Linked DNA regions of Nothobranchius furzeri. The protein of the gene in region 2 purifies or fractionates together with the protein of the main gene of each other region. This does not show direct contact. Links are inferred from orthologs where the notes say so. Each region holds a gene or a part of one and is shown on either strand. Other genes may lie near its edges.

What was found. Proteins that work in one complex are often made in the same cells at the same time.
Region 1: the proteins of ssb (region 2) and ro60 purify together in Homo sapiens (affinity purification with mass spectrometry; 3 studies listed by BioGRID and IntAct, with this or other methods). This does not show direct contact. The link is inferred for Nothobranchius furzeri from reciprocal best matches to the Homo sapiens genes SSB and RO60.

What each region holds. Positions count from the first base shown.
Region 1 is NC_091751.1:69,173,810-69,177,567, forward strand, and holds the start of ro60 (RNA-binding protein RO60), read left to right. Parts: upstream 1-1,479; 5' UTR 1,480-1,574; exon of another isoform or gene 1,575-1,655; intron 1,656-1,675; exon of another isoform or gene 1,676-1,806; intron 1,807-2,291; exon of another isoform or gene 2,292-2,394; intron 2,395-2,486; exon of another isoform or gene 2,487-2,505; intron 2,506-2,815; exon of another isoform or gene 2,816-2,912; 5' UTR 2,913-2,985; intron 2,986-3,758. UniProt on the Homo sapiens protein: RNA-binding protein that binds to misfolded non-coding RNAs, pre-5S rRNA, and several small cytoplasmic RNA molecules known as Y RNAs.
Region 2 is NC_091754.1:20,313,240-20,316,997, forward strand, and holds the start of ssb (lupus La protein), read left to right. Parts: upstream 1-1,024; 5' UTR 1,025-1,142; intron 1,143-2,183; 5' UTR 2,184-2,192; coding exon 2,193-2,252; intron 2,253-3,758. Other genes in the region: klhl23 (kelch-like protein 23), read left to right, coding at 1-94. UniProt on the Homo sapiens protein: Binds to the 3' poly(U) terminus of nascent RNA polymerase III transcripts, protecting them from exonuclease digestion and facilitating their folding and maturation.

The DNA of each region.
Region 1 (3,758 bases), on a different chromosome or scaffold from region 2:
CCTGCTGCTGCTTCAGCAGGCAGAGTCCTTTTTTATGCACCAGAAAGTTTTTGACATTAATAACCTTTATTATTATTATTTCGTGGATATGATTGCTTCTAGTTTTATTATTTTTTTACCTTCAAGTTACCCACATATCATCATTTCGGGGTTTTCTTCCCAACATCACCCAAATATCCTGACTTTAGGGTTTTTCACCCCAACATCACCCAAATGTCATTATTTTAAGGCGTTCACCCGACATCACTCAAATATCATTATTTCAAGGCGTTCACCCTGTGTAAGCTATTCTTCTTGATGCTGAAGAAATAAATAACCTGTTCCTCCAGTGTGTGTAGCTCTTCAGGTGGTGCATCCTCGCCTTCTTGATCTCTTGCTGTAGCTCTTGCATAACTGCGATGCTTGGTTTCCAGCCCAGTGATAAGTGGCTCGAGCATTTTGTTCCAACTCATCAATTCTTTGATCAAATCAAAACAACTTTATTTATATAGCACTTTTCATACAAAAAAATGCAACTCAAAGTGCTTCACAGATTAAAATGGCCCCATAGATCCCATATTCCCATCCCAGCCCCCCTCCCCAAGTATTAAACAATTGACAATTACACTTCCCCTCCCGCAACCAATTTCCAAGGTGAACGTACACTCACCCACACACTCACACACACACACACACACACACACACACACACACGTGAGCAACAGGGTAAACAGTAGGCTGAGTTCAGATGGGTCAGGTAATGGACGACACATCATCAGTGGAGCCATCTGCCTCGACAGCAACAGATCCACGGCAGCAGCCAAGGCACCGGCCCATGATGCCCAGGGAGCGAGGGCGGAGACCCCACCACTGCCCGGGCACTACCCGAGGAGCGCCCTGGCTGCCGCCACCGACCACCGACCACCGACCACCGGCCCCAAGGCAGAGGGCTCCGCAGAGGAAACACTGGAGGATTAAAACGTATAACTGTAAAATAAAAAAGCTAATATGGATAGAAAGTAATTGATAAAAAGTGATTACAAAGGTAGTAAAAAACCATAATCATGTAAAAACACTATGATGTAAATAAAAGAATAAAATTAAGTAAAAGATATATATATATATATATATATATATATATATATATATATATATATATATATATATATATATATATATATATATATATATACTGTATAAATAAACAAATATGACAAGTGATACAGTTAAACAGACTAGATAATTAGTAATCAGTGAAAAGCTAAGCTAAAAAGGTGGGTCTTATTCAAAAATAAAAAGTTCCAATATATATATATATATATATATATATATATATATATATATATATATATATATATATATATATACAGTTCTTTTTAGACTTTCTTCTCCCCGTACATACACAGTAACTGAGACGTGCGTTCAGCATGGCCTTCAGACTTCTCCGTCACCTGGGAGCGTTGCAAAGCAATACCCCGCCAGGCCAACAGAGGGCGTGTCGCTTTTCTGGCGTATCCGTTCCATTTACTCAGTTACGGTCAGAGGGGAGGAGGCCTGAAGCTCAAAACACAGAAACCGTAACTGTTTATGTTGCTGTAAGTGCGTGTTTATCCGGTTTTAACAGCATGTTTTGTGACTTTGTGTTTTTTGATGAACCAGCTATTTTTTTCTTCAGGGTAAGTTAGTTGCATCTTACCGACTAGCTCCGGGAGTCCGGTGTTCTCACTATCCGTGCTTCCTCGTCGAATTTTCTTACCGCAGCGTGTTTCAACAGCTGATTCAGTATGTCCAGGGTTACTGAAAATCGGTAGCTACTGTTAATTTATTCTGTAAAAAAAGTGGATAGTGTAAGAAGCAGTTTAGTCATTTCGTAAAAATTAACCCCTTAGTTGCTAAAAACATTTGAATATTCTCAGAACAATGACGATTTACCAACTACTTTCACCCATGTCGAGAAAGTGATTCATAAAAATGGAGATTTGTAAGACGTTAGCTCTAACCGTTCTATTTCTCTATCTAATCCTTTATTAGACAAATGAATCCACATAGAACAAATATGCTCTTCCCCCAATACTTATAGTTGTTTGGATGTATAATTTTGGAGATTATTATACAACTATGATAAATTGTTATATGTATAACATAAAACTTTTGGATATTAATGTGGGACTCTTTCAGAATGACTGTAAACAATGGGAGAAGTGTCTTGTTTACAGTATAATAACGATATTTTAGAAGCCATTTACAAGCTAACTGTCAGGTAAACATACAGCAAGCAGTAATTTAATAAAACAACTCAAAGAAATACGTACTGTGACCTTCGACGAGTTGAAAGTAACTAGATAAGTGACGAGATTAAACGTAAACTTCCACAGGTAGCGCGTCTCTATTTGTAAACAGCCTGTGACGCAATAATCGGCCTGCGCATGCGCATTTCCCCAAAGTAGCACACCGACGGGGAGCACGGATAGTCGGAACACCGGCTCTGATTTATGCCTTCCTAGTTAGGTGCCAAGGAGAATGGAAGTATGCTACCGACAAGTTCGTAGTCGATTACCAATAAACACCAAATAGTCAGTAAAGGATTTAGTGTTTCACATGAGATTTGTTTAAAATCTTCAGTAGTTCCCTAACTTAGTCTCCTGCTAGTTTAACTAGTCTAGTTAGACCTGTCCTGGTAACGTTAGCCCAGTTTCACTTGCTAGTTAGCAGAACAGATTAGGCTGTCGCTGCTTGAGTTCGGTAAAGACCTCCAGCATGTCCTGTGGTTTGTGCATCATCAAGTGTTTCTAACCGGCTTTAATCTATTTGTGTCTGCTTGAGGTGGCGGCCAGGTCGGACTGGGCTGGTGCCGTCCGTAACCTCCTCTGGGCCAGCGTCTGGCCTTCACAAAGCTGCTAACAACCTTTCTTCTCTGTTCCATCACCTGGTAGCACTTGGCTCGACGTCACTGGAGATCAGGATCCAGACTGCAGCTGTGTAGTCACTCATCGTGACACGTTAGCGGTAAAGGATCTGGTTCTGTGAGACTACACTGATTCTGGTTTTTGTACAGCTCTGACCTAGCCTGGCAAGCCATCCTTTATATGTGAATACATCCTGCAAAGCAAAACCATTTTTGCTTCGGATGAGGACTTTCAAGGGTTAGGCTGACTCTAGACTTGCTGATACAGGTTCTGGTTTATTCTGATTTTTCTCAAACAACCATAAAAAACAGTCTTTCGTGTTGAATCGCCAACTGATCAATCAATCAAACTTTATTTCAGACAAGAGATATGTCCATAACAAGAATAAAAAAATAAAAATAAAATACAAACACATTCTAATTAGAAACCGTATAGGCAGTTGCTCCAATGTTTAAAAAGGACTGAGGAGTACCTCGTGTCACTGTAAGATAAAGATTACTAGAGGTGCTGAAAAAAATCGATTCAAGTCTGAATCGGGATTCTTATTTATAAAGATTCAGAATCGATTCCAAGAACTCAAATATTTGGCATGTTACAGGTTTGAGATGCACCTTTTTGATCTTAGGAGAGTCAGTACTCCAATTACTTTTGTGGTCCCATAAATTGAGATGATTTATGATTGAATCTGCTGATAAGAGGGCACTTGAATGTCATTTTTTCCATTCTCATAAATTTGAGATGTTCTCATATTTATTTTCTAAGTTGATAAATGAGTACTCAGGATTACTCGTGTAACTTGTTTCTACACATACTTGAAAAGTATTTGACCATGTTACTTTCAAAGCTACTGTTAATAACTACAGATTTGTTATA
Region 2 (3,758 bases):
ATATGACCCAGAGCTAGACTCATGGGAGATTGTGGGGACTCTTCCCAGCCCGGTCAGATCACATGGATGTGTCTGTGTTCGTGGGGTCCAGTGACATTTATCACAGGTGTTTATATATATATATATATATATATATATATATATATATATATATATATATATATATATATATATATATATATATATATATATATATATATATATATATATATATATATATGTATATATTGTATATATATGTATGTATATATATATATAATTTCACAGTATTCACTACTTTGCAAAGGTTTATGCACAAACCATGTCAAGTTTTCATTGTGGAAGTTTTTTGTAACAACATGGTTATCCAGTGTTTCACTTAATCCTCAGGTATCTCTTGAGAAGTATGAAATAAAGCACAACTGTTTCATAAATCTTTTAAAAGCATTTTTATTTGAAAAGTCACTGGTCAGTAACACATAAAATAAATCACAACACTGATAATGGGATGTTTGCTTTCCAAAAAATACTTTTAAAGTCACTTGTATTTCTATAACTCTTCAAATGTATTGATATGTGAGTATTTGGGATCTTAAATTTTTCTAATAAGTTTGTAAAAATAAGTTTATGTGAATGAACTTCCAGCAACAAAGCATTTACAGCTGCTTTACAAGAAGATGCACAAGATGGTTTGTGAGTGTAAAAATAGTAATCATTGCAGCTTTTGTTTTGAACTACAAGAATATTTTAGAGGGGAGTAATATAAAAAGCTGGTTGTTTCTACAAAACAATTTGTGAGACAAAAACATCTTAATAGAAAACATAAATCTCTGTGATCAAGTGAAGATTTATTTTCTTGCTTGAAAACGAACATAAGTTTAAATTTTTGAATAAAATAAAATAAAATAAAATAAAATAAAATAAAAAGTGAAGAAAATCTACATTTGTGTTGGAATGTTGCATTGCAGCGACAGCTGCTGGGCACAAGCTGCACGACACAGATTGCGACGCACGAATCGAACTGCCGTAAAACTGCGACCTCCTCGACACTTTTTGGCCCTCGATGGTTTCCGTAGCACGCAGTCCTACAACGTGCCAGCACGAAAGGCAAGCTTTTGCGGTTTCAAGTTCCGAAAGTGCAGTTTGATCACAACTGTGATAACGTAAGTAAAACATTTGAGTTAGTACAATGTTTTATGGCGTTTTTCATTTAACTTGGAATACGTTGTTGTAGATTAACAGTACGTTTGAGCAGCACGCTACTGTTTGAACGCAACCACATGACGACGTTAACATTACAGACCCAATGTGTGTCCCCAAAATGTGCATTACGGTGACAAAACACGTTTTGTTTGTTTATTACAATACGGGTCATGATTCTGGGTGGTTCTGCTTCTAAATTAATATATAAACCGTAGCCGGTTTGCAACTCCTGAGACAAGCTAGCAGGTTTAGCTGACGCATGGTAACTGAAATGTAACTAGATGTGAGACAGCTGCGTGACACAAATTAATAAATTAGATTTATATTAGCTTCCAGGAGTTTTCTTAAAACGAATATTATCTGTACATTTATGGTAATTTGTAAATTCCGTTAGATTCATTGTAGAAATAGGTAGGCAGTGGCTTTTATTCACTGTTTCTGAATCAGGAATAGTTTATATAAACATGTATTAAGCCCTAGGGGACCCCATGATGTTAGTTCCTTAACAGGGCCAAAAACCCCTCGCACTACAGAAGAAATAGTAATAATTGCCATCAAATTAATCAGCAAACCCAGCACTACATGGCTATCTAAACTATTTTTACCATTAAATACCATTTTTACCATTTTTCGAAGAATAGTCTTCAAAATAGACCTAGGCCTTAAGGGGTTAATGTATCGCAGAGGCAACAGTCTACACCATTTAGTTTTTAAACATTTAAATGTCTAATGAAACAATTGAGAGGCTTGCATGCCAGATATATGATTATACAAACCATACCAGTTTATGTGATGAAAACAATGAGTGGTTATAAATAAAACATGGATTTTTTAAATAGGTCAAATTGCAATTCATCTAAATTTGTCTCCCAGTATTTCAAATTAATAAATTTAATGATCAGCGTTCGTACCATGGTACCTCTGAAAACTGGGACACATGCCCACATGTAAGAAATTTATTTTTAGAGTTTGCTAATTATTTGCAATTTCATTTCCTACAGAAAACAATCATGGCAGAAAACCAAGATCAAATGACCCCCATTGAGATGAAAGTGGCACGCCAACTGGAGGTAATTGCTATCAAACTTCTGTCATCGGCTCTCTGCTGGATCTGTAATCTTCACTTAACATCTGTGAAGCGTAGTTTGCCATTACAGTCAGTGGGTGTGTTTCAGCTGGCTGTGAAGCTTTTGGACATGTTGGACAGAAGTGTATTTTCGCGTCACTCTGCCATTTGCTGCTTTCCACCAGATGTGTAAGCAGCACATAATGTAATAGACACGTTTTCCTCGCGAGCTCAGCAGCTTGTCTCTGACCACTGGAAGTGTTTCAGATTTTTTATTTTATGCGTTCCAAGCTGCCCGTCTTGCAAGGTCACAAAATTGCCACAGAATTGCAAGATCAAGCATGATTTCGGCAGTTCATGTGACAAGCAGAGAGACAGCAGCATGTGTACTAAAGGGCCTCGTTTATTTTCTTTGTGTTGTACCTCAGCTATGGAGACTTTATATGTAATATGCATTTATTTATTTACTTATTTATTTACTTACTTTCTTACTTACTTACTAGTTAAGCAACTGCAAATCTGCACATGTTCTATTTTGAAAGTTGACGGATGTTTAAGTTTACATTTGACTTCCTGTCCGTTACAATCTGAACTGCTGGGCTTGGTGCGTCCTGGAAGTGTAGTGCATGAGAAAAAAAAACTCAATGTAAAGTTAGTGGAGCGATGTGATACTACGCTTCTTGGACACTTCCAAAACGCACCGCTTAGCATCAGGTGGGAACACACCCGATTAGGGTTGGGCGACGGGACGAATTAATTGACCGTCAGCGACGGGCTGAGTCGTTACGATTGTTTTTTTTTTTTTTACAAGAGGCGATATGTTCATTTATTTATTTGCCCATGATGACGTTTGTTAATGACAGATATTTTACACGTTACACACAGAGAACACCGCGGAGGTAACAATCATGACGAGATGTCCATCAGCGCATCTGAGCATCATCTCTCTCTTTCTCCGCCTCTTTAACTGCTGACGCGGAAGAGGAGCTCGGAGAGCGTCTGCGACACACTTGACAATGTGAACAAGAGAGCAATGTCAAGTAGAAACCCTTCTATCTTTCTCAGAGAGTCTGGAAGACTTCTGGTTATTTCATTTGGAGACATTTTTCCCGATTTTAAAACTTTGGGCGAGTGGCACTCGTTATTCTGCCCCTGCTTCGAGTGTGTTAGTGGAGTGCAGATTCATCCAGAACAACGTTTAAACATCCATAAGTCTGAGGCAAAAGCCCAGAACCTCATAACCTCTCCAGCGAATTCCGTAGAGACATTTGAGTACGCACAAGCTGCAGGTGACCAGCTCAGGTTTACGCAGAGCAGAGGAAGAGTGCGTTCAGGCTGCAGCAGATGAATTGTTCCTAATTTAAGTGGAATTGTTAAATTGCATTGTTTATGTTACTGGGACACTTTGTTCAGCTTGTTTGAACTAAATATTAATTAAAATGAATGGAAATGTAATGGTACTGAATAATTATTATTATTTAAAATAAACAAAAGCAATGGGGATAAATGG